4 linked regions of the Alligator mississippiensis genome follow. The protein of the gene in region 1 purifies or fractionates together with the protein of each later gene. This does not show direct contact. Links are inferred from orthologs where the notes say so. Each region holds a gene or a part of one and is shown in the gene's direction. Other genes may lie near its edges. The genes, in order: EZH1, JARID2, PHF19 and PHF1.

What was found.
Region 2: the proteins of EZH1 (region 1) and JARID2 purify together in Homo sapiens (affinity purification with mass spectrometry; 4 studies listed by BioGRID and IntAct, with this or other methods). This does not show direct contact. The link is inferred for Alligator mississippiensis from reciprocal best matches to the Homo sapiens genes EZH1 and JARID2.
Region 3: the proteins of EZH1 (region 1) and PHF19 purify together in Homo sapiens (affinity purification with mass spectrometry; 4 studies listed by BioGRID and IntAct, counting the BioPlex papers as one, with this or other methods). This does not show direct contact. The link is inferred for Alligator mississippiensis from reciprocal best matches to the Homo sapiens genes EZH1 and PHF19.
Region 4: the proteins of EZH1 (region 1) and PHF1 purify together in Homo sapiens (affinity purification with mass spectrometry; 5 studies listed by BioGRID and IntAct, with this or other methods). This does not show direct contact. The link is inferred for Alligator mississippiensis from reciprocal best matches to the Homo sapiens genes EZH1 and PHF1.

What each region holds. Positions count from the first base shown.
Region 1 is NC_081827.1:152,151,327-152,158,968, reverse strand, and holds the start of EZH1 (histone-lysine N-methyltransferase EZH1), read left to right. Parts: upstream 1-4,629; 5' UTR 4,630-4,693; coding exon 4,694-4,704; intron 4,705-6,209; coding exon 6,210-6,330; intron 6,331-7,294; coding exon 7,295-7,423; intron 7,424-7,642.
Region 2 is NC_081826.1:128,795,318-128,802,903, forward strand, and holds the start of JARID2 (protein Jumonji), read left to right. Parts: upstream 1-4,581; 5' UTR 4,582-5,364; coding exon 5,365-5,409; intron 5,410-7,586.
Region 3 is NC_081835.1:64,140,180-64,147,371, reverse strand, and holds the start of PHF19 (PHD finger protein 19), read left to right. Parts: upstream 1-4,191; 5' UTR 4,192-4,958; coding exon 4,959-5,210; intron 5,211-6,851; coding exon 6,852-6,933; intron 6,934-7,192.
Region 4 is NC_081834.1:64,870,900-64,878,356, forward strand, and holds the start of PHF1 (PHD finger protein 1), read left to right. Parts: upstream 1-4,442; 5' UTR 4,443-4,925; intron 4,926-4,932; exon of another isoform or gene 4,933-5,518; intron 5,519-5,719; exon of another isoform or gene 5,720-5,722; 5' UTR 5,723-5,737; coding exon 5,738-5,932; intron 5,933-6,007; coding exon 6,008-6,089; intron 6,090-6,250; coding exon 6,251-6,346; intron 6,347-6,422; coding exon 6,423-6,532; intron 6,533-6,616; coding exon 6,617-6,765; intron 6,766-7,355; coding exon 7,356-7,451; intron 7,452-7,457. Other genes in the region: kinesin-like protein KIFC1, read right to left, coding at 1-48, 413-580, 666-839, 919-1,035, 1,438-1,566, 1,641-1,787, 2,409-2,607, 2,693-2,885 and 3 more. UniProt on the Homo sapiens protein: Polycomb group (PcG) that specifically binds histone H3 trimethylated at 'Lys-36' (H3K36me3) and recruits the PRC2 complex. Involved in DNA damage response and is recruited at double-strand breaks (DSBs).

The sequences.
Region 1 (7,642 bases):
GAGAATGTGGAAATGCCTGGAGGCTGAAGGCACTGACAGAAGTGACACTTTGTCATGCGCTCTGCCATTGAAAGTGCCCTACAGCCATCCACTCAACTCCAGGGCAGGCTGGGCAAACCCCAGAATGGACCTCCCTCCCATCCTGAGATGGGCCCCAGAGCTGGGGGCGGGCAGGAGGGGAGGGGAGGCAGGGCTAGGGGAAGAGGCGGCAGAGGCCTCTTTTGCTGGATGGGCTTTGAAGTGGAGCTCAATCCCCCACCCTCCCAGCCCAACAGTGAACACCTGTTGGGTCAGGAAGGTCAGTCTAACTCATGGTACTTTCTGTAAAGTGCCATGAGTTAGACTGGGGAGCTGCACATCTGTCAGTGCCCAGAAAGTGCTGTTGAGCAACACCGCAGCAGTTCTGAAGTCAGCTGATGTTCACATCAGTCTGTCAGAGGGATGATAAATTACTGTACAGTTCTGGCCGAACAATCGTAAAACTGGAACAAAACTTGGACCAAGCTAAGATTCTACAAGCCTTGTGGAGACACCAGGATGTGGTGACAGAGAGGCTTTCAAGGCATGCGATGGATGGCATGGTAATTGCGGTATCTCCGAGTTACCAGTTTTTACAAGAGACAATGTGGTTGTCTGCTGTCCCAGGGGGACACAAGCAGAGGCCCCGGGGCACCCTCCCATGGTGGGACCTGAGGCAGGGCTGACTCGCTCAAAGAAGAAAGAGAAAAGTCCTGAAAGCAGGGCATGCTTACTGTTTTTAGGAAAAGCAGAGCCAGCCAAGCCACACCGAGACGAACTGCCTGTGCAGTTCGTCAGCTGCTTTTATTGCTGGCTGGGAGCAGCGATGGCAGATGACATTATCAGAAATCACCGCCCGGCTGATTTAAAAGCCAGGAGGCAAGGAAATGGAGGGGAGATCAGCAATACCATAGCCAGAAGGCAAGGCTGCTCCCCAGGCTGCACACAGGCTGTGTTGGCAGCTCGGCGGAGATCCGGACGGAGACCCGATGGAAGTGTCCAGGATCCATTAAAAGAAGCATCATGCCAGCTCAGCAGGACAGCCGGGCCAAGGAGGATGGTGTTGAGGGACCCTGGAGCCGCAGATGCTGGATCTATGAGTGGGGCAGGCTGAGGCCCCATGCCCTATTTTTTTCTTTCTTAATTTATTTTGAGTTTCACAGAGCCCCAAACCAGTGAGAGGGGCCACGAGTGGCCTTTTGGGTCAAGGGGAGCCAAGTCAGTGCAGCAGACTGCTACGCTTTGAAGGAAGACCCGACACATTGACAAGGGTGGTCTTACGTCCCGTGGTCTTCCTGTGTGGAGGGACGCTGGAGACAGGCAGGGAGAAGAGAGGGTAGGTGATGACATCAGAAGACAGGCCGGCGCATCGCTGGGGTGTAGGGGAGGTAGAGCCCCAAAAATGCCCACTATGGACAGTGCCCGGTCTGCGAGGAGCTGCGAGGAGCCCCACCATTAAAGAGGAAGATCAAGTTGTGGCAGGCGAGTATCAGGGCCTTCTTTGGGGTGAACACAACCCAATGCCTAAGCCTCAAGAACAAACCCTGCGGCTGGCACCGGGTGCGTGCTCCAAGGCAAATAGAGAACGCCTACATGAGGCCAGGTGGGTGCATCTGCAACAGCAGAATACTGGACTCTGTGGCCCAAGAGGCCCTCTGCAGTCCATTGTGCTTCATGTCTGGGTAGGACTTAGCCTGGGGCTGGCCCTCGTTGCTTTTTTTTTTTTAATTATTATTATTTTGTGTCTCAGGCCAAATTAATCAAATCATTTCCAAATTCTAATCAACTGAGCTGAGCTTAATCATTGAAATCTGTGTGGCACTACTGCCAGCAAGTATCCTACCTCCCAGACGCTGCACCCTGGGGCTTCAGTTACTCCCAAATCCATGGCAAGCATCCTATGTACAAGAGCCCAAGCCCAGAGGTCTTGGAGTTCAGATGCTCCCTAGTCTTGCTTGTCTCTAGCCAAAGGCCATAGGAGCAAGTTAGAGAGAGAGCCCAAGCACAGCCAAACACAGACCTCAGGGCACTGGAAATACAAACAGGACAAAGATCAGATAGGCCTTTGTCTTCCTTCCCCTGCGTGCTTTTGCTGTAAGTGAAAGGGTGAGGCTGTGGCAGGAGGATATGATGTGCAATTCCTTTGTCTACCATAGTTATTTGTTTATTGTTCATGCAGGAGATGCACCTGATAGCTCATTTCCAGGTGGGTGAGCAACATACAGTATACTGTGGAAATTTAGAAACAAAGCTACTCTGGAAAAAATCCCTGACACAGCAGCTCAGCCAAGTTTTCTGCCCCTCCCAACAGAGCCAAAGGAAACAGATGGCCCTTTGACCATGCCCCAAAGATCAACAAACTTGAGCTCTATCAGACCCAAGGGGAAGTGCTCTCTGGAGCCAAACTCTGCTACCACAAAGTATATTCTGCAGCCAGTCCCCAAGTGTGTGATTCTAGGGATAGTTAGCTAGATACTAGCTAATCTAGGTCCTGGTGAGAGGAATCTCTCAGGTAGCTAGAATGCAAGGAAGCATCCAGGATTGTACCCAGATGGCAGCAGGAAGCTAGGGAGGAGTTGGTGTAATGTACCCTCCGGGTTATGACAGCTAAATGGGAGAATAGTACAAGTTATATATATGAGCCCTGTGTCCTTGAATATACAGCCTGAGAGCACAGGACAGCATAAATTATGTTGTTACTGAAGGAAATCCAGGTGTTCAGTATTACCATGACACTCTGAGGCCAAGTGTCTCCAACAGAACAGGCAACCTGGAAAAGCTTCAGTTCTCCATTATCTCGGCAGGAACCCGCTCTACAGGAATTAAAAACAAGGGAAATCACCCTGTCATTCTTTTACCACTGAATCCTCCAAAAAGCTATTTCATAGCTCCTTGGAAACTGCTCTTCGGATTGCTAAAAAAACAAAAATCCCCCATACCAGAGCTTCTCAAATCTAAAATGTATGCTATCACCCTGTAAAATCTGTCCTCTGGACACTGTCACACCCTGTGATGTCTCCCCTTGTTCTCCCCTAAAAAGGCTACCTATAAAAGCATATTAAAGCCCCGAGTTCTGGTACTTCTGTATGTCCTTGTAGCCAGGGGGGGAATTCTGGAGCCAGCTTCAAGAGCACCCTTTGGGCAGACTCTGACTGGCTGCATTTTTGAGACTGTAAAAGCAAATGATGCCAGACCACTGCTGAGCATGTGCAAGAGACCACCATTAGAAGCTTTTACGTGCCCAGTCTGAGTGCATTTTCCCATGCAGCAAGAGGCACCGCCCTGATCCCAGCATATTCTCCCTGCCAGATATCAAGCCACTGCAGCTTTCAACAAAAAAGATTTAAGTACAGGTTTCTCTCGCTTTATATTGTACAGTACATGCGTTCCTGGAAAAGCACGCATAACTCCAATTCGCATAAAACGAACCCACTTTACAATGTAACAAATGGGGATATGTTCCAAGACCGTACTGACCCCCAGACCCATTTCGACCACTTTTACAAGACAGTTTTGGTACTCACCAAAAGCAGCAGTGCACACAAGCACAGGGCAGTGGTGAATGATACCATAATGGGGACGGCAACTACAGAAACAAGTGTCGCAGACAATGAGCGAGGACCCCGGATCCACACAGGAGACTATATTTTGGTGCGTGTCACTCCCGCAACGCACTGCAAAAAAGCAGCTGACAGCAGGCTTTCACCACACCGATTGCATGAGTGAATTTACCTCGCATATAATGAATTTTTGGTATTAAAAAGGTCATTGCATAGGAGTGGATTTGCACGTGCAGAAACCACATAAGGAAAGGGAAACCTGTATTTTTTTTAACACAGACAACATAAGATCTCTCCTCCTTATCTCATCCTCTCCACCATTTTCTGCTGAAATTTTCTGAAGAAACCGCCTGAGACAAACACCGGGCATGGGAAAATTAGCTGCAATTAAAATTTGGCGTGGGCAGAAGCAACCCACCCCCGAGCCGCCTGACGGGAAGCACTAGGCGATCTGGGCATTCCCACAAATCTGGGCGTAGAGCAGGGCTGCCGGCCACCCAGCGACGAGCCAAGATCTCCTGGGCTGACACAAGAGGAGGCAGCCGCGGGCACGGACCCGGCTCCAAACGTCTCACCTCGTCACGAGGGGCAGATCTATAACACGCCGGATTTCTGTGCCGGAGAAAGGCGCACCAAGTGCTCAAACAAGGCTCCCTGCACCCCCCGGGGGATAGGGGAGGGGTGGGGCGGGGCGGAGCGGGGTCGGGCCGGGACTCCCCAGGGCTCTTCCTGCAGACCACGTATTTGCCTCGCCCGGCTCTTATTTGCCTCACACGTCCGCGCTCGCGAGCGTCGGGCACACGTGACCCTTCCCCCCTTGACGCTCCGCGGCTCCCTCCTCCTGCAGTGGTACAGTCCCGCCTCCCTCAGAGTGGCGCAACCTATCCTGCCGCCGCCTGTCCTGGCCGCGTGCCTCCCACAATGACACAGTCCTAGCTCAGCGTTCTGCCCCTGCCCCGCGAATGCGTAGCGGGGTGGGCGGGGCTTCATGAGTGGATGCGGCGCTTGGGGGGCGGGGCCTCGCTGGAGGGGGCGGGGCCGCGCGGGGGAGGCGAGCTAGCTGGTTGGCGCAGGCGCGTAGGTGGCGTCGGTGTCTGCGGCCTCTCCGGAGCGTGATGGCTGAGGAGTGAGTGTCGGGCCGGGGCGGGGCGGGGCGGGGCGGGGGTCTCTAGCGGCGGGCTGCTGCGGGGGGGGGGAGGGATGAGGGGCGAGGGCTGGGCTGGGCCGGGCCGGGCCGGGCCGGCCAGGCCAGCCCAGGCCAGGGGTCGCGGGGCGGGGTCCATGGGCTGCCCGCGTGCCCGCAGCAAGCAGGCCACGTGGGCCGGGCGGGCGGGCTGCTGGTTTCGCCCCCACGACGGCCCGCGCGGGAGCGGGAGTGGGGCTGCAGCAATGATAGGTCCCCTCAGCACTGCACAGGGCTGCCTGGGGCGCTCCACGGGTCGCCATGGGCCTGGCGCAGGCGCAGCAGGCTTACCTGGGGCTCCCACCTCAGGAGAGCTGCGACGGAGCCATCCTTGTCGTCTTTTCACGGGCTCTGCCTGTAGTAGGTGAAGTTCAGAGGCTGGGGAAATCAGCCTTTGAAACTGTGCCCTAAGGGCAGTGGGTGAGGCACACCCCAGACATGGGAGCATAGGTCTGAAACCTTGCATGGTACAGAGGGGCGCAGGTCGGAGCTGTCCATCTTGTCGCTGTTGCATCGGGTCTGCCTGGCCGGCCTGGAACGTCTGCCAGGGAGAGATGCAGGGATCTGGATGAATGGGCAGTAATGCGTGCAGAAGAGCTAAGCAGTGGCATGAACGGAGTATAATACGTTTGAAAGGGTAATAGGACTCCTAGGGAAAACCAGGTTTCCCTGGACAGTGTTGCTGACATCAGGCCCCTGCTTGCTGATGCTGTATCTGTGGCAGGGGGGAGTCGCGTTTCTGCTTCCGTAGGGGTAGGGCAACAATTTGTTCACGGTAGTAGGCAGCTGTAGCAGCTGGGTGTGTTACGGGTTGTATGTTGTCTTGGGGAGGATATGACATCACTTTATTCAGAGGAAATGTGCAGAGCTGGCACTAGGCATGAAGAGGACATGGGCTAGTGTTTTGCTTTTTACTACCTCAGAGAGTGTTTGACATCTTGAGTAAATAACCGGGGAAGGATTAAAACAGAAGCTTCTCGACTGCCCAGCACCACAAGGGTAAAACGTTGGGGTAAGATCCTAGTTAGTGGAGGGGAGAGCAGCTTATCCTTTCCGCCCTTACAAGTCTGCATGTAATGAGGCCAGGTGCTGTGGGTAAAACAAACAGAGCTGCTCAGGATAGTTGGTCAAAAAGGAGTTCACCCCAGTTCTCACTGGACAGTCGAGGAGCACAATCTGTGGAGTCCTTGCATAGTATGCTTGGCCCTGAGCAATTAGTTGTCTCAGTTCTAAGGGCTCTTAGATCAGCCCTTCTGGGTCCCTTTTAAATACACTTTGCACTGTAATTATTTCTTAAATAAGTAGTACCAATATAGCCTACTTGAGGAATTACTCTTTTCCTGAGTAAGGTCAACAATACATTTAAAATCCCAACATACAATATTTTTTAATGACTACTGCTCACATCATGATATCCAAGTATTAATCTTTCCTTGTTTGTTTTACAGGAAAATGGATATTGCAGCTCCTCCAACCTCAAAGTGTATTATATATTGGAAAAGGAAAGTCAAATCTGAATATATGCGTCTTCGGCAGCTCAAGAGGTTTCAAGCAAACATGGGAGCCAAGGTAAACATATTACAGTAGCAGTAGGTCTTTTCTGTTTAAACTACAGCCTTGATCCCAGGTACTACTAGTCAGTACGGTTGCAGTCACGTGTCTTTCTCCCATGTTACTACCTGCTATGTAAAATCTTAGCTGTTACTTTGCAGAGATGTGTGTTTTCATCATTGGTTATGTCATTTGACCAGAAAATTGTTTTTTGTATCTGATGTCTTGGGTGAGCATTAGGTGCTTCAGATTCCTTGAACTCAGAGCATGCCTCATATGCACGAAGCAACTCTGCTATCTCCTGAGTTTTGACTCCATGTCTTAAAGACTGGCTGTCTTCAGCTGCCTTTTACTCAGTCTTCTCTAATTCACTGCTAGGAGTCTGGTAAAGTCAACAGTGACTGGAAGGTATCACCAGCTATTGGTTGTTCAGTTGATTGAGTTGAAGAACAGCATTATGCACATGCATCCAGTGAATTCAATTAGAAATATTTTTAAAGGAGATCTATCAACTTGAAATGTTAGTAACTGTTTAATTAAGGAGGTAAGTACTTTCAGGCCTTTTACCTGCTAAGTTTTGTGGTCCTGTGGCAGATTTTAACTGTCTATTTTTATTTTGTTTATTGTGGCAGGCTCACACAAACAATGGAAACAGTGAAATCAAGTTACCCAAATGCCAAATATAGGCTACTTGTTTTTAGTTGTTTAGTGACAATAGCCAGGTCAGTAACAAGAGCACTGGCCTAAGGGTTGCTGCAGATTCAATTCCCTCCTCTGCCCTAGACTTCATGTGTGACTTGAGCAAGTCACTCTATCTCTGAGCTTCCATTTACCATTTGTCAAATGGAATTACAGTCCTTTGGAAATGACACCTGCACTGAGTCTACAGCCTGATGTGCAGAACACATTCCAGTGGGCATTTCATTACTCTGAATCTTCACTTGCCTTTTGATTTCAAGGGCTTGTCTCTTTCTTGTTTCAGGCTCTGTTTGTGACCAATTTTGCAAAGGTTCAAGAAAAAACACAACTTCTGAATGAAGAATGGAAGAGGCTTCGAGTGCAGCCAGTGCAGTTAATGAAGCCAGTCAGTGGGCACCCTTTCCTGAAACAGGTACAATGGCTGCTCTGCTGTTTCTGCCTCCTTCCAAAAACACTGATGACAGCCTAGGTTTTGCTGGGAACTCTGAAGGCAGCTGCAGCTTTCTTTGTGCTTTTATGTTTCAATATGTTACTGTGCCAAATATTCCCCCCATGCTGCAGAACTAGGGGGAAAAAGAAAATGTACTTAAGCTAATGTTTAAGGAGGAAATGAAGTGTGTGTAAAACTCAT
Region 2 (7,586 bases), on another chromosome or scaffold:
CAGGCAGCCACAGGCAGGCTGCAAGTAGCTGCAGTGCAGGGCACTGGCCACGTGGTGGGCAAGGGGCCACTTTCTCCCCGTGCTCAGCTCAGGTCCTCCCCTGCCTTCCCCAACCCCTCACCTGAGTTTCCGACGCGGTGCAGCCATGTGGTCCCAGGCCAGAAGACCCTGTTGGGGCTTCCAGCTGGGGGGGCAGGGCCGGGCGGGCCCTGCTGTTGTGGGAGCCTGCCCGGCTTCCCTCCCGTGTCCTACTGCCCCTTGGTCTAACCAAGGGCAGATAAATATTAATTTTCTACATTTTTTAGGGTCCCGCAGGCCGTATTTTGCCTACCCCTGCAGTAGAATATGCAGAACTTGTTAAAAAAAAAATCCAATTCTATGTAGAGGTACCTTTGTAAATCTACCTCACTGGAAGATAGAAAATAATCATCTTTTTGAACAGTTATAATCCAAAACTTACACAAATGAGGGAACTCACCACTGTTACTTTTAATCACTTTCAAACATCTCCAATGCAAAATAATCTGACATCAGCTAAGACTAAGCTCACCATCAAGTTAAGGCATTTTTGGGAGCTCTAGATCAAATTCAGTGCCAGTCAGTAATGTCAGCAGCAATTAATTGTACAATATTGACTACATAATCACAGTTTCAGTTTTTAATTAATCATTTTGCAAATCAATCTACCTTAAGTATTTATTCAGCCCAGTACTGAGGGGCTGAAACATGGGGTAAGGGCAAGAATGGGAAATGTTAATTTATATAGAGTAGGTCATAAACAGAGATAAAGGAATTGATCTTCAGGAGTGGTAGCACAGAACTCTGCCATCCGAGCTGGAAGTGAATCTCTGTGAGGTAGTAGCAGTAGTAGGTTCTTACTCATGTACAGCAGCTGTTGGAAGGTCATGACATACTGAGCCTGCGTGGATCTATGCTCTTGTTTTGCAAAGAAGCCAGGTAAGTATTTTAATAAGTAAGCACAACAGTTTTTAAGAAAGTATCAGGATGCTAGTTTCCGCTGTACTCCCTTGTCTTCCTGGAGTGCTCCTCAGAGGATGAAGAGACATGGATTTAAAGCCCTTAACTGAAGAGGCAAGCCACCAAATCTCTCACCAAGTTTTGCATATTCTACAGTGGGTCCTAGCTGTCTCTCAACAATCCAGTTGTAGAATCCCAATAGTCAATGAATGGCAGGGTAGTGGCTTCACTTTCTGAAGCAGAGGAATGTCCAGCCTTTTTCTCCAGAAAGAAAAAATATAAAATAGTAAGGTATTTGCTCTCAAATATCTCCTAGGCATCTGTGCTAAACAAACATTAAAAAGACAGAAAAATCAAACTGTTGAGTTGCTACTACTGGCTCATTACCTGTGAGGATCTAATTCCTCTGTTATCAACAGAGCTTTTCAAGGAAAGAGACAGCAGCACCTGTATTTGTGAATGCACACTTTTATTAAAAAGGTAAAAATCAGAACTTGTGCATCTACTTTAATTATTGTGAAAAAACATTCAAACAAAGTTCTGGTTCTGCCTTTTACAAAAAAATAAATTATATTCAACCAGCCAGTAACTGCCTAGATTTCCAAGTTAGGAGAAAATACAGGTCTCCCTCTCCTTGGTGTATTTCAATACTATATGATGTTTAAAATGACACTTCAAAACATTATTCTGATTATACTAAGCTTGTCTGAAAGAAATACAACGGTAGTCACTTTCCAAAACGTAAGCAAGCTTTATACCGCACAAAATTGAGAATGAAACTTCATTTAAAAAGTTTTGAAATCTTTAAAGACACATTTGGAAAACTCTAGTATAAGTAGTAGCTAATCTGAAAAAAATTGAAGTTAGGATGTTAAAAAGTAACTTGATTTCCTTCATTTAATATTTTAAAAGTGGCGTGTGCCCTATTTCTAGAGTACGTGAGCATCATGTTCTCTATCTCTTTAGGGGAGGAAGGATGGTCTTGTGGTTCAGGCATAAGACTAGGAGTCAGGAGATTGAGGTTCTATTCCTGGATCTCCCACAGCCTTGCTGCACGACTTTGCTCAAAGTCACCCATCACCTCTTTGTACTGAAATTGCTGAGTTAGGGATAATATTACCTCAGAGCAATAATATGACACTAAATTAATATTTGGGCAGTGTGGTGAGAGCATCAAAGATGTTATAAATGCACATGCTATTACAACGATATTATTTAGTTAGATCCTTTTATACAATTGTACAGAGAGGTAAAACTGTCTAGTGGTTTAAGTACAAAACTAGAAAAGCTGCCCAGGGCCCTCCAAGGACTCAGAATTCCCTAACATTCACTTTAAAAATTTGGTGTCTTAGGTTTTAGACATCAGGGCCCACTCTTGCTGTTATTGTGAATCAGCTGTTTTATATAAACAAAGACAGAAAACATTCTAGTAAAATAGAAAATAGAAAACATTCTAGCAAAATAGATTTGCACCCTATAACCTAACTCAGTGGTTTTCAACCTGTGGTCCACGGACCCCTGGGGGGGTCTGCAGACTGTCTGAGGGGTCTGCAAAAGATGACTACAATCAATCAAAAGTATGTGAATACCCACACTTACAATACAAAACGGTCTGCACCTCCATTCAAAATTTCCAAAGGCGCCCACACCTCCATTTGAAATTTTTTAGGGGTCTGCAAATGAAAAAAAAGGTTGAAAACCACTGAATCATAGATGTACTGCATTATTATTTAGTTAGGCATTAAGATGCAATTCTACCCTGCTTTCTGCCAAACTGCAGACTAACACGGCCAATGACCTCTCTCTCAAAAGATTAAAACATCCATCCAATAAGCTACAGTAAATGTTCTGTATTTACTAAAGAGTGTGTTTACTTCAATCCTGGGAACTATTTTACCTCAATCAAACATTTCAGATTCTAATGGTGAGCAAATCCTCCCTTTTGCAGCATGCCTTAGCATCAGCAAAAAAGCAGGGCTTTTTTTTTTTTTTTTAAATCTCCCTAGCTATATATAGAGTTGATTATGATACGTTAGCCCACCAGTCCCGCTGTTGCTGTCTGCAAGCTTTAGCTCTTCAGAGTAATCCAGTGCAGCAGCAGGGCTTTTGAGGCATTACAGGGGGGCGGGGGAGGGGAGTGACCTTAGAATACCTTTGAGACGCATTGAGCAAGTTTTATATAAACCAGGCACACTGTCCTGAGGTGACACTGACAGCGAAGCAAAGGAACAGGCTCCTAACAACTAGTTAGTCCAAAGCAAGAGGGCCCTTTAGCCCACAGTATAATTTAGATAAATGAAATTCGGGACTGCAACTGCCTAACTTAAGCCAGACACATTCATCCTGCGTCTCCCTCTGCACCTTCTTGCTTACCACTCCCCCCACCCTTGCTTTTTGTAGCTTCCCAATAAAGTCCTATTTTTACCTCCACCCCCTCTCCCAGGAGCACATGCCTCCCCTGGCAGTGGAGGGTGTGGGTGGTGCCCGCCTCTGCACCTCCTACCAGCCTCCCCTCCAAATGCCTTGCATCAACATCCTCCCACCAAAAGCTGCTCCGGGCAGCTAACAAGCAGGCATAACAAGCACCTCTGGCAACTGCCCTCCTGGCAGACTACTGCCCTAGCTCCACTACTAACCCAGAAACTGCACTGCCTACCCCCTGCTATACACTGGTGCCCCCCCCCATACAGCACCTATGCACTGTGTGCCCCCCACAGTACAGATGCCTCCTCTCCATACAACCCCCTGATTCACTGCATACCTCCCCCCAGTGCACTGGTGCCCCCCATACACTGCATACCTCCAATACACTGCATACCTCCCCCAGTGCACTATACAACCCCCAATGCGCTGCTTGCCTCCCCGCAGTGCACTGGTGCTCCTATACAACCCCCAATGCATTCCATACCTCCCCCCCAGCGCACTGGTACCCCCATACAACCCCCGATGCGATGCATACCTCCCCCAGGGCAGTGGTACCCCCCATAAAACCCCCGATGCACTGCGTGCCCCTCCCCCGCGCGAGCCCCCCGTCCAGCGTCCCACAGCTCCCCCCCACACCAACAAGCCCTGGGACCGAGGGCGGGAGCGAGGGGGGAAGCAGGGGAGATCCCACGCGGACAACCCCCAGCGGCAGCCAATCCGAGAGCCGCGTGGCGCCCGGAGGGGGCGGGACAGCGCCCTAGCGTTCGGTGAGAAGCGGAGGGGAGGGGGAAGGCGAGAGGAAGGCCGAGCGGGGGGCATGATGGGAGTTGTAGTTCCCCCCTCTGCTGTAGCCATTTTGTGGCGAGGGGGAAACTACAAGTTTCCCCACAGGCCGAGGGCAATTCTCCGGCCTGCCAAGCCAGGCCAGGCGCCGCGGGGCTTGTGTGGCGCGGAGCGGGGGGGAGGGGTTGGGCCTAAAGGGCTCTAGCAGAGGAGCTGCGGTGAAGGGGGCGACGGGGGGTGGACGAGCGTGCGGCGCGCTTAGGCACCGTGGCTAAATTCCCCCGCTGAGAAGGGAGTGGGGGAGCGGCGTCGCTAGCCTTTGCGGCTGGCGGGGAGGGCAGGAGTTGCGCGGTGAGCCCTAAAGGGGGCTTGTAAAAAAAGATCAGGTCCATTTAAAGTTGCTGCTGGAGGGCGGCTCGGTTCGCATTGGCGCGGGGGGAGCGGCGGGCGCGCGCACACACACACACACGCACACGGGCGGGCACGGACGCACACACAACACACACACACAATCGGTGCGTGCAGCAGCAGCCGCCGCCGCCGGAGTTGTCTGCGCTGCTTCTTCCCCTGCTGCAGCCGCAGCAGCAGCGCGAGTGTTGACTTCCAGCCTCCTTTATTTATTTCCTCCCGGCCGTCCCTTCCCTGGCCCAAGATGTAACTACAGCTCAGACACTACGGACCCGCAGATCGCTGCCGAGGCGGCTTTGGCAGAGGAGAGAGAGGAAACCCCCTTCCCCAAAAGGGGGATCTCAAGGGCGTCGGGGTGCTCTTTTCTCCCTCCCCCCGCGCGTCTCTTCAGGGGGAGCCTCTCTCCATGATGAATGTTTCACTCAAGTGATTATTTTGGGGGTGCTTTGCTTTGCATTCGCCTCTCTCTTTTATTATTATTATTATTATTATTATTATAATTATTATTATTATTATTTTCCCCCTTCCTTTCCCCACCGCCACCTCTCGGATTTATTGCTAGGAGAATCGCATTGTGAGGCGAAGAAAGTCGGATTACAAGAGACCACTACCAGCCAACAGCACCCACCCAGGATTTTTTTTTGTCGGTGGTTTTTTTTTAATTATTATTGTTATTATATTATTATTATTATTTTTTATTTTTAACACCTTGTCGCGGCTTTAATTCATGAAGCAATCGTCCCCTTTTGCCATCAGCATTTGGATACCAGAATGAGCAAAGAAAGACCCAAGAGGAATATCATTCAAAAGAAATACGTAAGTGGCCGTAACAATCTCTCGTTTGAGTCCCAGGTTTCGGAAATGGCAGTGAATGTCAAGTTTCGGGCTCATCCTTGCAGCCACCAGGCTTTGAAACAGATGTCTGCTAATGCTGATGGATTGATTTATTTGTTTGTGTATGTATTTAATATATTTATTTATCCCCCAAGGTGCTGGGCAGTTTCAGGGCCTCTCTTTATTTTTAATTGCAAAGCCTTGTCCTGCCCGGTGCAGATGGGTAGAGCGATATCTCGAGTGAATAAATGTATTGACCTCAAATGACACAATCATAATCTAGTTTTAGGTGAAAGGCAGGGAGGGGGGGGGGGAGGGAGGGAGGGAGGGAGAGGGGGGTGGGGGGGGGATGCTGCTGCCGTCGTGTAACTACAAACTGCGTTTTCCAGCAGCTTTCTGCAGATTGCACTTTGCAGGCAAAAAAGAGAGAGAGAGAGAAAAAAAAAAAGCCTTTTGCATGGAGGAGTAAGGGGCTATTCCTGCCGGGGTTGTGGGAAGCCCTTTAAGTTAGGATCCAGTGTCTGGTTATGGCGAGCTCGTTTCTTGCACGACCACATCACATCTCACGGATGTGATCCCTCGCTCCTCCGGCCGGCAGCAGAACCCGAGCCGGCCGGGGATCGTGTTACAGGGAATGCGTGCGTTGGGATTGACTTGAATAATGGGGAAATAGCTTTAAAAAAGAAAAATGATGGCGATGCCTTGAAATTTTAGAAGAATACGGTCCAGTCCAGGCTGCACAGCATTGTGTGTGTCTCTCTTCCTGCTTCTTTTTGTTTTTAATTCAACCGCTTAACCAATCCCTTGTAATTGTCTAATCCTTTAAACGTATAAATGTGCAGAGGTAGTTGGATTTTTTGTGCGTGCTCCAGCTCCGTTTTGATTGGCATGGGGGAGTTTTGGGGAGAAAACTGAGGGGGGGGGGGTATCCAAATAGGCAGGCGATCGCAGAATGATTTCTCTCTTTTTTTTTTTTTCCAGCTGTATGTTTAAAATGAAAGGTTTCATTTTGTTTGGGGGAGGGGGGAGACTTGCTTTGGGGTATAGTGAATATAACACTTTAAACTACAACTTTTTTTTTTTAATAAAGATATTTTGGTTGGTGGTGACTTCGCCCCCCGGGGGATGTTTCTAAAAGGAGGGGGGGTGACCTTCGGGACACTTTCTCTCCCTTCTAGAAATAGATTTCCTAAAACCTGCCGCTGGCTTCCGCCGCCTGCTTCTCTCGGGGGTTGACTCTTGCAAAGCTGAAGGCAGAGGAGAGCGAGGTGAAATGGACAGCCCCCCCCTTCCCCCCTCCAAGCTGCTTTTCCCCCCGAATTTCTGAATTAAAATACATCCGCATTGCAGAGGAATTGGGAGGCTGAAGCCGACTAGTTTAAAGTCTTGCAATCCAGACGGGAACGGCGCGTGTTGCCTTAAGACTTTCCCCCACCAGACGGGCACGTTTCTGGGAGACAAAGCAGAAGGGGGTGCGGGAGGGGGGGGTACGATCGGCGCTGGTCATGACAAATGAACATACCCCCCTCCCCTAGGATTTTTTATTATCATCATTATTATTATTATTATTATTATTATTATTATTTAAAAGCCCCCCCAGCTCCGGGCTGGTGAACAATGCAGCCTCAGTCTGGCCGCTGCCCCTTAGAGATTTAGTAAAACTACTGTCAGCTCCGCAGGTACGAGATGCCCCTGCAAGCAGGAGTGGGGAGACAATGTCTCCTTGTGTTCCCGAGTTGAACTTCGTGGAGTGGCTGGAGGGGAAGGGCTCTGTGTTGGGGAGGGGGGGAGGCTCCTGCCAGGTTTCTCGGAGGGGAGGGGAGGGGGGGTTGGTGCACTGATGCAGCGAGTAGCATGAATCGACGCAACCATGGCTGCTGCGGCGGCGGTGGCGGCTGGTGCTGGTGCAGGCAGCGGCGTGGGCCGGCCCGGCGCGCTTCCCCGGCGTCCTCTGCAGCAACAGGTTAAGCGGCGTGTCAGCGCGAGCCCCTGGGTTCCCGGCCATTCAGCCCAGCCGGGGCCAGGGGCTTGTTGTGCTTGTGACGTCACAAAGGGAAGGGCCTGGGCTCTGTGGAATCTTCGTCGTCTCAAGGTTCTAGTTCCACACCCCCCCCGCGTGACGTCAAACGTGAGGCGGGCCGCGTGTGCCGGGGAGCGGG
Region 3 (7,192 bases), on another chromosome or scaffold:
AGCCCAGGTTTGGGGCAGTAAAGGGGCACTGAGCCAAGGTCTTACCCCTTCACAGGTGAGCAGGTGTTTAAACCAGTGCAAAGCACTAGCAGATCAGCGTTCTGCATGTGTGTGTGACAGGGCTTGGGGGAATCGGCTGTGACCAAGTCCAAGCAGCACACACCTTGGCACAGATAGCTATGGGTGGAAAATGGAAGTAGCAGGGGGCTAGCGTCATTCACGTGTAGCAGCCAAACTCCGAGTACCGGAGCCGAACCACTTAATAGCTAAACGTGGAAGCTGCACTCGTGTCAGAGAGACCCTCCCCGTCCCTAGGAAGACAAACTCCTGACCATGACATGGAAGCAAGTGCTCTTTGGGCAGCGACACTTACTTGAAGGATCTGGACAAGAGACTATTGCAGAATTGACATCTGTATTTTTTGAATGCATACATATTTTTACTCGGTTCTCGGGACATGGCGGTATTCAGTTTAGAGAATAACCTCTCATTGTTGTCTGCTGTTCAGGTTGGATGTTAGGAAAAGCTTTCTCACTAGGAGGGTGGTGAAGCACTGGGACGGGTTGCCTAGAGCGGTGGTGCAATCTCCATCCGTGGAGGTTTTAAGGCCCAGCTTGACAAAGCCTTGTCTGGGATGATGTAGCTGGGGCTGGTCCTGCTTGGAGCAGGGGGTTGCACTAGATGTGACCTCTGCGGTCCCTTCAACCCACATTTCCTATTTTATACTGATAATATTCCTTCTACTATAATGGTATTAATACTTGCCTATGCTATAGCAGGGAAATAATTTGAAAACAAGGAAGAAGAGTTTTTATTTTATATACTGATGCTGAGATCCATATTTTTTTCTCATCTTGCCAAGCCCGTTCAGGCCAGGAGAAGGGAATTAGTATTACATAGTGAAGTTTATTGCTTTAGGTTATTTTGTGTCCATTTTGTATCCTACAAAGCAACCCCTGTCTAAGGACAGAAATATTTATCCTTTGATTATGATGGTTGTAAGGAGTTTCTTGTCTCTCAAAAGAGCTACAAAGAGGCTATTTGTGAGGTCCTAAAAGTGTTTCTGAATTGCAAATTCTGTATTGCGGTGCTGAAGTTGTGAGTAACATGCTCCATCTTTTTGACCCCTTGTGCTGTTGAGTCTTACAAAGTTTTAAAAAGTGATTAATCGTTAAGAGCCTTGAACTCTATTTTCCCCTTTCTTTGATATTTTTCTTTGGCGAGGTGTTTAGTGGCCTGTAACATAGCTGGCAAGGTTTATAGTTGCGAGACAGCCTGGCTGTGACCTGTTATGTACTTTGAGAGAGTGAATTATCAGTACCTTTTTAACTTGGGTCTAAACAATTTTAATTATTATTTTTTAGTTGCTTATCTGTAAAAGGGTCATAACACACCAGACATGGTGGAGAAAAGGTTTGATGTTTTATAGCTCAGTCCTAAGAAATGGCAAAGAAGTGGCATTTTACCATCGCGCCATTTTAATGATTGCCTGGGGGAAATACTTATTGGAACTGCAGGCTTTTTTCGGCAATGCACTGAAGAATGCAATATATTGGAGAACAACTCATTAAGGTTTTCATCTGAAGTCAATAGTGTCACCTACTGATTTCAGTAGGCTTTGGAACAGGCCCTAAATGAGGAATCGGCTTTCTGTTCTCTGACCAGGTGTGAAAATATTTGTCTTTTGACAGCAGTTCCTAATAAATCTCAGCTATTTTGTCCCAGCTGTCAGAGCAGCAGGACAGTGGAACCGCCTGCTTAGGGAAGGTGTGGACTAGGTGGTCTTTGGGGGCTGGACTGGACGATCCTTGGGGTCTCGTCCAACCCTCAGACGCTGTGACTCTTCTTGGTATTGACCACAATGAGTCTATAAGACCCCCCGGGTTTGTGGACTGATATTAGGATGGAGGTTATACCCATTCCAGATCCGGGGGCTCGGGGCTGCGCACACAAGGGACCGACGAGGCGAGTGTCAGCGTCGCCTCCAGAACGGCCCGGCAAGGGGCAGCTGCGGAGGAGCGTATGTGCGGAGCTGGGCTCGAGAGGCATTTTCAGTGTTCGGTGACGTGCCCCGAAGTGTCCCTGCAATGCGTGCTAAGGATGGGCACGCTCGGGTCCAGAGAGCAAGGGCATCGCATGCCAGACGCTTGGGAGGGGGGCTTCACTAACGCTGGCCCCCGGTCGCCTTGCTGAGCAGTGCCTGTGGGACGAACTTCAGTCGGACTCTTCTCCAACGGGGGGATCCTTTTTGGACCCCCCACCCGAGCCCCGTCCCCATACAGGTTTGTGTCACCGACGTCAATGCTCCCCTGCCCTTGCTTTAGGGCGGGGAAACCTGTGTGCACCCTTCTGTCTTTTAGTAAGTACAGTGTGTGCACGTGCATGCGTGTGCGCACAGCGTGTATGTCTCCATATGCTTGCACGTGTGTGTGTGCATATGTCTGCATGTGTGCATGTCTGTACAGCTGCATGTGTCTACACATGTATGTATGGCTGCCCGTGACCACGTGTGTGTGCATGTCTGCACAGCTGCATGCGTGCATGTCTGCGCGTGTGTGCATGCTTGTGTGCACATCTGCATGTCTACACGTGTGTATGGCTGCCCGTGAGCACGTGTGCATGTCTGCACAGCTGCATGCGTGCACACGTCTACACAAGTGTGCGCATGTCTGTACATGTGCGTGCATCTGCAGGAGTGTGTGCACACGTCTGCACATGGCTGCGTGTGCACAGCTGCGTGTGCCTCCACGTGTGTGTATGGCTGCCTGCCTGCACGTGTCTACACAAGTGTGCACAGCCGCCTGTGCGTGCACACCTGCACCCCCCCGCACCCGCGCGGTGTGGGTGTGGGTGTGGGTGTGGGTGCGGGGGGCGGGCGCGGGCTGGGGCGCGGGGCGGGCCGGGCCGGGCCGAGGGGCGGGGGAGGCGGCGGCCCGGGCTAATTGCATAAGCGAAACGTAAATAATTCGCGGGAAAAGAAAAGAGGGCAGAAGATGGCGCCCCGCACCCTCCGCCCGCCGCGGGGCTGAGCCCGCCCGGCCCCGCCAGCGCCGGTAAGAGCCCCGCACACTCGCCCCGCGGGGCAGCGCGTGCACACTTGCCCCGGGGTTGCGGGGTCCCGCCCTGCCCGTCCCGTCCCGGGCCGTCCCGGCGGGGCGCGGGACGCGGGCGGGCTGGGCGCGGGCGGGGCGCGGGCGAACGTGTGTCGGCGCGGCGCGGCGGGGCGCGCGGGGCTGGAGCGCGCCGCACCCCGCTTCCCCCCTCCCCCCAAAAATGGATCCTATTTTGAATGCATTTGAATCAGCCAATCAGAGCCCCGGGAGCAGGAGGAGGGGGGCGGCTGGTGCTGGCAGGCTGGAGGGGCACCCCTGGCAGGAGATGCTCCCTGCCCTGCCCCGCGCGGGATGGGCCAGGGCAGCCGGCCGCTCCCCAGCCCCGGAGGCGGCTGATCGGGGGCCGCGGGGAGCGTGGCACTAGCGCGCTCGGCTTCAGGAGACTCGCCTGCGACCGCCCCGGTAACCGCAGCCCGAGGCCGGATGCTGCGAGTCCTCGGTGCTGCGGAGCGGGGTGCCCGCCAGTGGCCCAGGGCGGGAGCAGGAAGCAGAGCAGCAGCCCGGGCAAGGGACGGGCATCCCTCGCCGGGCTCCGTTGGTGGCACGCCTGCCCAAAAGCTTGGCCCCGGGTGTTGCACGGAGCCGTGCTTGGCTTAACGGTGCGGCGAGGAGCAGGATGAGTCGAGCGGGGCGGGGGGAGGACCGGCGCAGTCCTGTGACTCGAGCCTTTTCCTAGGAACTGGCTGGCTCTGAGTCAGGGCAGAGCAGATTTTTCCATGGAGGCCTCGCTTTTTTCTTTCTTTCATTTTTTTGCCTGCGCTCCGCACTTTCTGCTCGGGTCCGGGAGCAGCGATGCCACGAGCAGGAAGAGGGGAAACTGCTCTCGAGGAATTTCCAGCTTGGTTTTGCAAAGTCGAGAGGCTCAGAGAGTCGGGAAGAAGTTTGGAGAAAGCTTCCAAGCGAAGACGGCTTTTCCCGCCCCTGCTGCCGCAGCGTTTCTCGCCCCACTAGTGACCTTCTCATCGTGTTTCCTTCTCCTCGTTTCCCCCAACTGGTGGGAGCAGTAGTCACGGGGTGGCTGTCCCGCTGATTTCCTCGGCACGATTTGGTTAATACGGAAATAAATTGGAAGGTGGCTTGCATTTTTCAGTGGCATGTAGCTGCTTGCTGATACCGTTCCCCAGAACGAATGCCCTTTGGGAGGCGTGCCGAGCTGGGCTACATGGGGCCTGACTTGCCCTTAGCTTGAGTTGAGAAAGTCTCTAGCCCTTAATGTTAGTCTGCGGAAAGCTTAGTAATAACCTGTAGGGTATTTATGCAGCCTGTTTCTTTCCTTGCGTGGAAAGACGCAGGGATAAAACGGGCTGAGTTTATAGTCTGCACCGTTTCTGGGCATGGAATGAGCAAGGTGTGCGTGTCACAATTAATGGGATAGCATCCGAATAAAGGTACCCGGGTCCCTTTCCGCGAAGCTGTCTTGCACCTGCGTGTTGTTAATCGCACCTTTCCATCAAGAAACACGAAGGTGTTGTAAAAACCCAATTGATTCAGCGCTGTTCGTTTGCTTTTGGTCCTTCGCGCCTCTGGAGGACTGGAGCTAGGCTCGTTGTCTCCGATTGCCATTGAGAGTCTGGTGGGTGTGCGTGCTCCTACGCTATCCTCTTGGGCTTGGGGGTTTGTGCAGCGGCAGAGGAACGTGGGAGTTCAGATGGATGGGAATAAAGAGCTACTTCCATAATCCTCTAATGTGTTTTTGATGGAGCCTCCCGTCATGCGTGCGATGCCCCGGAGCTGTTTGCTCTTTCCGTCCCTATGCTGACTGTCTGAATGCACGAGGCGGTGTAGCACAGCGGCACTTGGAAGTTTTAAGGGACGGGATTTTGCCAAACTGAGAACATCCTTACCATGGGTTGTGATCACAGACTAAACCCCGTTTTGTTTTCTCGGCAGCATCTGCCAAGGCTCATGGAGAACGGCACACTGAACCCAATCATCCGAGATGTCTACGCGGCGGCCAGCCACCTGCAGCAAGCGTCGGTCGACGCGTCCGTGAAGAATGGGAACGGCTGCAGAGATCTGATGGTCAAACTGACGGAGGGGCAGTATGTGCTGTGCCGCTGGACCGATGGGCTCTATTACCTGGGCAAGATCAAGAGGGTAAAGTAGTAGGCATTCGCAGCTTTGCTAGAACGACCTCAGTTCTTTAATGCTGGTGCCTAAACCAGAGAGGTGCGTGAGCTGGCGCTCTCACAATGTCACCGGGGCTGGACTCTGCCCCGGATGCCTAGCTCCGTAATGGGCTGAGCGCACATCCAGGCTTCAGATACCCCCATACCACAGGGCTCTTCTTATACCTGGGCTCAGGACCAGGTTTGGAAAGTTGGGCCCTTCTCTGCTGTCCCTCAAAGAGAAGGCGTCTCACAAGCATTTCTTTCAGAAAGGACCTTTCACACACACTTAGCTCTGAGCAAGCTTCAACTTCAGTGTCCTTGATTGGAGGGTGGGCCAGGGTGTAAAGATCATGATTTGGGTTGTTCCTGTCTGCTCTTTTGTTAGTCCTTGTATAAACAGCTTGAGCAGGAGAGAGGGCATTAGAGAACGTGGTTTCTATCCTGCATGTGCAAATCGGGTGCAACAAGAAGCAAATAACTCAGCTCAAAAATGGGCCCGTTTTGCTGGGAAAGGATCGGATATCTCTTTTGAATGAAAACATAGTCCACTGCAGTTGAAAGGTGGGGTCAGGGCCTGAGGTTTTGGGGTTCATTGTCCGGCAGGAAAGTTGCCATTTATTTTTTCATCAAGTCTTGGGAAGGAAATGGCAAAACGGCCGAAAGAGCGCAAACCAATACGAGAAACTTGTTCCATCCAAAACATTAAGGAAATGGTTTCTCTTGTCTCCAGCACGTTTGATTCTTTCTGTAGAGCATCGGGCAAGACCCGGCCTCTCTCCTTGCCCCCGGTTTGCTCATCTGCTTAGCAATGGTGTGCAAATGCAGGGGACCAGCCTCAGTGGCTCTGCGTTCCTATAGCAGGGGAAGGGCTCCCACTCGCGCACCCCTGGGCCTGAGAGCGCCTTCCAGGGCAGGTGTTATGTATGCTAAGTGTCATTGCTGTTAAGCAAGGACCTGTGAGGAGGGGCCAGGATCGCTGGGGCAAACCCGGTGTCTGTGCTACACCTGCAGTCAGTGCTGACCCCACGAGAGGCAGTTCCTGGCAGCCCAGGTAGCTGTCAGTTGGGAGAAGTGACCTCGGGCTCAGTGAAACTCCCGATTCTCTTCCTGTCACGCTGGTTGTATAGGAGTGTGAGTCTGCTGCGGTTTGTGCCTTTGCTCCTGCCTCCCCCTGGGGTTAGGGAAAACGCTAAGGCACGTCAAATAGTGAATGCCCTTTATTAGCCAGCACCAGCCGCCATTCTCTGGAGGGCTAAAGACAAAGCCTGTAGGCGGGTGGCTTGGACTATTTGGGACCCCAGCCCCCTGGGTTGCTGGCTCATCTCCAGCCCAGTTCAGAGGCAGCCAGGACTGACTCTCATTCTTTGGTGGTTTGGTGAAATGAACTCCCGGGCATGGATGCTGGACATAAAAATGCCCTCTCCTTCCTAGGTGAGCCTCTGCTGCCGCTGTTGCGGAGCCTGGGCTGGGTGTATGCAGGCAGCATTTGCTTGCAGGGCCGTCCGTGCAGCCTCTTTGGCCGGAGCAGAGCACCCGCGTGTGTCTCTGAAGTCCAGCCAGCCACTGAAGCGGTGCTCAAAAGGGAGTGGGATAAACTGGCATCTGATCTCCCTCCTTGTCTGTGCAGGTGAGCGGCTCCAAACAGAGCTGCCTGGTGACCTTTGAAGATAATTCCAAGTACTGGGTCCTCTGGAAGGACATTCAGCATGGTGAGTGAAGCCTCGATCTCTTATTCTGCCCTGGCGGCTGTTTCTAACCCCAGCACCTGCTCCCAGAGACAGATCCGAAGCCCCTTCTCAGCCCCCCCAGGACCTTCGCTGTTCTCTCGTCTCGCAGCCTGAGGTCTGGCTGCCGTACTGAGACGTGCGCTTCCATTGCCCCAGCTGACGCCTTCGCCTTGCTGCTGGGTGGGCTTGTCTTCAGCTTGTCCCAAAGCTTGGAAACCAAGTGAGGTGACAGTCCTTGGTC
Region 4 (7,457 bases), on another chromosome or scaffold:
CTTTGCCACAGAGCGGTTGGCTTTGGCTGTGTGCAGGAGCTTCAGCACCTGGAGTTTGTTCCAGGAAGAAGTGAGGCCCAGAGAGACGCAGGCCATCACGCCTGACCTTCTGCCCAGCCCAGCAGCAGGTTCCCCTCCCACCCTCTTAACAATGCTTTTTCCACCCTATAAAGCGCCACAGGTGAAGAGCAGGCCTGATGAGGGCACGCTGAGACTTGCAGCCATTTTGTGGCCAGGTGCAGGCTGTGGTATTGCAACAGGCACTTTGATGCAGGGGAATGAAGTAACTTCTCCACCTCCAGCTTCTACCAGTCTCACTCAGAGGATGATTCTTCTGCCCCAGACTAGGCTGCAGGCACAGCCCCAAGCCAAGACAGGCACACCATAGTCTGCAGCCCCCCCAGGCACTTACCTCCTCCTCAGAAGCCACAGGCACGCAGCGCAGGTTGGGAACGTGGAGATCCTCACTGGCCTGACTGACGCGCCGGATCTCCAGATCAGGGGCCTGGTCTGAGCGCCCCACCAATAGGTCACGCAGGCCTTCATTGTAGATCTCGAGGAAGCTTGCTGAGAAGCTATACTGCAGGGGGGCACGGACATACACAATCAGCCAGTGCTGGGGCTGTGGGGGCAGCAGGCTGGGAGACATGGGCACGGAAACTCACCTCCCAGCCTTTGGGCTCCAGCTCCCGTGCGCCCTGGAAGACCTGGCGCACGGCTCGGGGAATCATGCCCAGGGTCTCCTGGTCCAGGTTGTCCGGTCCCTCCATGGTGTAGGTCTTCCCACTGCCCGTCTGTCCGTAGGCAAAGATGCAAACGTGATAACCATCCAGTGCTGACTGCAGAGGGGAGCAGGGGAGAGGGGTTATGAAGAGAACAGCCCCCTCCTCCCACAGCCTGGCCCAGCCCAACTCATACCTGCACTAGCTGTGCAATTTCCTCAAACACATCCGCCTGGGAGCAGGCTGGGGGGAACACGCGGTCGAAGCTGAAGTCGTACCTCGTGTTGCCTTTACAGCTGCGCCCGGTGTGGGACTGAAGATTGCAGGTAGCAGGGGAGAGCAAGAGGGATCAGCCAGGGGGCCTCATTCTTTGACCCCCCACTCCGTAGCCCAGAGAGTACCCATGGGGCAGGAAGCCTGCGCTGCTGCACCTGGGCATGACACTCTCCCCACCTCAGCCTTTGCTATCACTCTGCAGCTTGTGGCTATCCTCACCTGTTGCAGACAAGCTATTTCTGAGCATGGGCAGCAACCCACAGGGGTCCCCCAGGGAACAGGTCAGCTTTGTAGGGAATGGATTATACCTTTGCCAGCACCCCTGGGGGCTTCAACACTGCATGGAGCAGGGGCATCTCCAAACTGAGGCCAGACAGCCTGTGGCTGGTGCCCAGTGACCTAGGCCCATTGCTGTCCCCCACCCCCCTGCCTGGCTCACCTCCTCCGGCCGGGAGAGTACAAGTGCTCCGTTGTCCTGTGGGGGGAAATGCAAGTGCTCCAGCCCCTTCCCCGCCTCCTGTTCAGAGGGCAGCAGGGGCCGCACACGGCAGAACACACGGATGTTGCCCTGTGGAAGAGATGCATCAGTCTAGCCCAGGATCCCAGTGCCCTCCCACCCATCTGCCCTGGGCCCAGCCCCACCTTGAGCTCCAGCACCAGGTTGTGCAGCCGCCGCCGGTCCATCTCCAGCTGGTGCAACTGGTCTTCTCTCTGCGTTGCAGCCTGCAGCAGGGTTGTCACCTGGGCTTTCAGCTCCCTGTTCTCCTGTGTGCTCTGAGCCAGGTCCCCCTAGCAGAGAGCCCGAGTGTCACTTAACCCTGGCTCAGAACTGTCTGAAATGATGGGCATGGGAGGCCATAGCTTGAGGCATCACCATGACCTGCTGACAGGTGCTAACACATGGGCTCACTGGATACGAGTGGCCATCAGCATGGCCAAAGTGGGCTACTGGGGACAGGTGGGGGCAACCTGGGGCAGTGCTGCCTATGACAGCAGGGCACTTGTGGCTCTGGCAGAGGTGCCATGGTTGCAATAAGGGAAGCCAGGGAAGGCAGCACCATACAGAGTCACTGGCCTGGCCTGGACCAGGGGACTGTGACAAATGCCACGTTGGGAATGTGATGCTGGAGCAGAACCTGGTGCCATTACAGCCGGTGCCCACAGCCTCAGAGATGTTGCCATAGGAAACTGTGCTTGCGTGTCAAGCTGCAGATTGTACTCATCTGTCAGAGCTGCAGCACCGTCTGTCTCCACACACACAGCATGGAATAGCGTGCCAATGGAGACGGGCCGATGAGCACAACTGCCTGCCCCAGGGCAGGCCGCAGGACAGCAGAGCTCCTCATCAGAGGCTCTGGGGCCGGAAGGAGAGCCAAGCTGCTCTATGGACCCCTCAACTTCCAGACCCACCTCTCTGGCTTCCAGCAGGGCTGACAGGTCCCGCTTAGCCATCTCCAGGTCCTTGTTGGTCCCCTCGAGCTCCTTGTTGGTCCTAGTGGTGTCAGTGAGCTGCTGCTCCAGTTGGTGCTTCAGATCCGACAGTTCCTTCACTTCCTCGAGGCGCTGCTGGGCCTGCTCCTGGGACACGTGCAGCTCGGACTTCACAGCCCTAGAAGTGCAAGGGGCCAGGGTCACTCCCCGTCCGCATCAGGCTGCTCCTGCCCCCACCCCACCCCACCCCACCCTCCTCTTACTGGAGCTGGCGGTCCAGGTCCCCGTTACGGGCCAGCAGCTCCTGCCTCTGCTCCTCCAGCTCCTGGCCCCCCTTGCGCAGCTGCTGCACCTCTTCTTTGTAGATTTTGAGCTCTGCCTGCAAGTCGCTCACTTGGCCCTTCAGGTCCCAGGGTGCCCGCTTCTTCTTGCCACCCCCCAGCTCCAAGGCACGGCCTGAGGCAGAGAGAGAGATTGGGGGGGAGGGGCGCAGACTGTGGTGGGGAAGCCCAACCGGCCAGGCCAGCACAGGGGGAACTTGGTGGCACCTTATAAGTACATTGGGGCTTGGAGGAACATCTATTCACCAAGCCCTGCAGGGGAGGACAAATAATGGGCACAAACTGATCAAAGATCGTTTCAAATTAGACATAAGAAAAAGCTTCTTTACAAGCCAAGCGCCGAGGGGCTGGAACAGGCTCCCCCAGGGTGGTCTAGGCACCCGCAACGGCCATCTTCATAAAGTGCCTCGACACCCAGCTCGCCGGGGCCTCCTGCCCACGTCCGAGCTCCCTAAGCCCCCCGCCCCGCCCCGCCCCGCCCGCCGGGAAGCTGCGGGAGACGGGTTACCTGTCTTGGGAGCGGCTGTGGCTGCGGCCACGGCTAGCCTGGAGGCGGCCCCTGGGGAAGGAAAGCAAGGCAGGCTGGAGGCCCGGAGCGGGAAAGGCCCGAGCCGGGTGCTGAGGGAAGGGCTCTGCCCCCAGCCCCTCCCCCGCCCGTACCTGGGGCAGACGCGGCGTGTGCGGCGGGGCCCGGCGGCGGGGCGAGCGGGCGGCCGGCGAGGCCGGGCGGGGCCGCCGATCCGGGGCGCTGCGGGCGGGCGCTGGCGAGGCGGCGGGGCGGGCGGGCGCGGGCGGGGGGCTGCAGGCGGGCGCGTTTCTGCGGAGAGATGGAGACGTGAGCGGGGCGGCGGCCGCGGGGCCCGGGCGCCCCGGTTCCCGTTCCCGTCCCTACCTGCTCGGGGCCGGGCGCGGCCTCGGCGGCGGGCGCGCGCTTGGGCACGGGCAGGCGGGAGGCGGGCGGCGGGTCCATGGCGCTGGCGCAGGCGATGGCGGAGCCGGAGTCTGGGCGCGCGCGCCTTCCGCATTTGAAATAGGCCCCGCCTCCGCCACCGCGCGCAGCCAATCCCGCGCGCTCGCCCGCCCCGCCCCCTCCGCCGCGCCGCGGCCAATCGCAGCCCGCGGCCAATCCGCTCCCACCGCGCCCCGCCCCCCAGCCCCGCCCGGCCTGTGGCGGCCTGCGCGCTGGAGGAGGGGAGGGGGGTACGTGCCCTGCGCGCGCCCAGCGCCGCTCGCAGTTGCGCAGGGCGGGAGGGGGTGGAGCCGGGAAAGAGGAGAGGGAGGGGCGGGGCAGGTGCAGGAAGCGGGGGGCGGTGGGGGGGGGGCTGAGTGGGAGCAGTTATGGGGTGGGGGCGGGGCAGGTGGGCGGAAGTGGGAGGGGCTGGGGCAGTTCGGGGGGGGGGATCGAGGGCGAGAGACGGGATGGAGCGTTTAGGGTGGGAGGAGGCGGGGCAGTTTGCGGGGCTGGTGGGAGGGGTTGGGGCAGTTTGGGGGGTAGATGGGGAGATGGGGCAGTTTGGGGGGAAGTGGGCGGGGACGGGGTAGGTGGGAGGGGATGGGGGGGGCCTGGCAGGAGAAGTGGGTGGTGCACCAGGGGCACTGGGTGAAGGAGGGGTGACCGGGGCGGCCGGGGATGCTGCTGGGGTAGGGGCTGTGAGCAGGGGGGAGCTGGGGTGGGCGCGTGGGGCAGGGGCCTGGGGTGGGAGGAGACTGCTTGGCTCCTGCACTGGCTCCCCTGTCGGAGCATGGGGCTGCAGCCCCGGACCCGGTCCCATCCCCTTCCCCATCCCCAGGCAGTAGGAGTGGGGAAGGGGCTGCCCCCAGTGCCAGGAGGGGGCACTTGCAGACGATGCCTGGCCTGGCCTGGGGAGGGGTCCAGGGTGCCAAGGGCCTGGTCCCAGGCAGTGCCAGGAGGGGGGCGTTAGGGGGGGTCCCCTCCCCGGGCGTCTCTCCGCATCCCCCCTTGTTCCTCCCTGCTCCGGCGGCTGCGGCGGCTGCTGCTGCTGCGTCACTGGGCTCAGGCTGCTGCGATGGAGCCTCAGCGGGTCCTGCTCTTTAGCCCCTGAGGGCCCCGCGGCCTCTTGGCCCGCAGATACCCCTCCCCGGCCGGGGACTGGGGAGTGCCAGCCCCCACCCCTGCAGGAGACACCAAGACCTGGTAAGGGCGGGAGCGGCCAGGGGCAGGAAGCTCCCCTCCCCCATCCTGGAAGGAGAGGCAAGGGGCTCCCCTGCGACACCGTGCCCCCCTTCTCCGGTTGTGACCCACCCCCAGTCAGTCAGAGACCTCAGGGAGTTCCTGCACCTGAGATGCTCTCAGCCCAGACCCCTGCCTCCCAACCCTGATGGGGGTCCCTGGTCTGAAACACTCTCCCACCTCCCATGCAGGGCACCCCACGGACCCCACCTTGGAGGCCCCACCTCCAAATTTCCAACCCTGCCCCAGAGACCACCCCATGTCCCAGGGTCCTGCCCCCACAGATCCCCAGAGAGGGGCTCACATAAGGAAGACCTTCCCCCAAATAGCAGATCCAGCCTCCTAGATGTGAGACTCCCTAAACCCCACACCTGCCAGAGGGGACCTGAGCTTAAGACCCTCTCCCTCTCCCAAACCCCACGCTTGCCAGAGAGGGCATAGGCTGAGACCTCCCCGAAACCCCACACCTGCCAGAGGCCCCAGGCTGACACCTCTTGGGAGCCCCACAAATCCTCCAGGTTCTGCGAAGCTCCTGCACTTGAGAGACGTGTCCCACAGTAAGAGCTCTCCAGCACCAGGCCTGGAGGCTCAGACCTCTTGCTGCACTCCTGGCCTGTCCTCCCTCACCTAGCTGGCGGCCTTTGAGTGGGGTGGAGTGAACCACACCATGGGAAGGAGAGAGGGAGGCAACTGGATTTGGGGGAGGGGGACTCAGACTCCTAGGTTCGGCAGCTGGGACTGACCCTCGCTGCATGCAGCAGGTTGGTCACAATGTGATGGCGAGCGAGCTGCCCACCCAGTCTTCCCGGGTGACGCGCACGACCTCACGCCTGGCCTCCGGCCCCTGGAAGCGCCCAGCAGGTGCCCCGACAGCCCCGGTCCCCGCTCCCAGCCGGCCCCGCTTCTGGGAGGGGCAGGATGTGCTGGCTCGCTGGACCGATGGCTTGCTCTACCTGGGCACCATCAAGAAGGTGAGTGCAGGGCCTGGGCCCCCACCTCCGCCAGACCCCACAGCCACCCCCCCTCACACCGCTCTCCCTATACAGGTGGACAGCTCGCGGCAGGTTTGTCTGGTGCAGTTTGAGGACAACTCCCAGTTTCTTGTTCTCTGGAAGGACATCAACCCGGGTAAGCAGCTGGCTCCCAAGACCCCAGCCGGGGGCCTGGCTTAGCAGCATCCCATGTGGTGCCTGGGCTTCATCACAGGTTTCTACTCCCTCCCCCCACCCCAACCCTTGCCCACTGGGTCCCCCAGGCAGTCATGGGGCTGGTTCTGTCATCTCTTGCAGCGGCAGTGCCTGGTGAGGAGCAGACCTGCTGTGTGTGCTACACGGAGGCTGTGAGCGCAGAGAACCAGCTGGTGCGGTGTGAGAAATGTGGGCATGGTAAGTGTGGCTCCTGGCCCCTGCCCCATGGCTCCCTTACCCTGCCACCCATCTCATCTATGCTTTGCCCCCACAGCTTACCACCAGGAGTGCCACCTGCCCACAGTGCTGGAGGTTGGTGGCAATGGGGCAGGAGTGCCTGGCACCTGGACGTGCAGGCAGTGCGTCTTCGCTGTGGCCACCAAGGTGAGCTGGACCCCCACCCCTTTCCTGACCCCTGTGCCCCTTGCACCCACTCCTGGCCTGATACTCTCCCTCTCTCCTGAGCAGAGGGGCGGTGCCCTCAAGAAAGGCCCCTATGCCAAGGCCATGCTGAGCATGAAGATGGTGCTGCCATATGAGCTGAAGGCTCTGGAGTGGGACCCAGTGCATCTGACTAATCGGCAGCAGTGCTACTGTTACTGCGGTGGACCGGGAGAGTGCGTGTCCTTCCCCTTCCTCCCTGGGGTCTCCCAGATCTAGAAGGGCCTGGAGCTGGCTCTGGGGTGGTGGGGGGTTTCCCAGAGGCTTTAGGTCAGGGTCCATCCTGGTGTAGGCACCAGTCTAGACTAGCTCAGTTGGAGTCCAGGGCAGGGCTCAAAACTCTGGAGCAGGCATTAGAGCGGGGAGTTCTTACCTTGAGTGGCAGCCTGGGTGCAGGCCCCTCAAGGGGCACCCCTGGAGCTGGAGCCAACACGTTCTGGACGGGGGACACTAGGTGTTGGGGCTGAAGATTTTAGGCTGGGACCATCCCAGGGGATGAGCTGGGGAGGTTCCAGATTGGGCTCAGCCTGTGGCATGGGGCTCAGAAGCAGGCAATGAAGCTGGAGAATTTGGAATCAAGGCTACTTTGGGGTTGGAGCAGGATTCGCATTGTGGGGAGCCCTGGGGCCTTCCCTTGCATGGGTGCTGGGGACTAGCGAGGTGGGGGGGGAAAGCTAGTGGTCCTGGCAGCAATTGTGCACACCTGTCAGATGAGGCAGGGCTGGGCTGTGCACTCAGCCTGCTGCCCTCCTGCTTCCTCCCACAGGTGGAACCTGAAGATGCTGCAGTGCTGCCGCTGCGCCCAGTGGTTCCATGAGGCCTGCACCCAGTGCCTGAGCAAGCCGCTGCTCTATGGTGACAGGTAAGG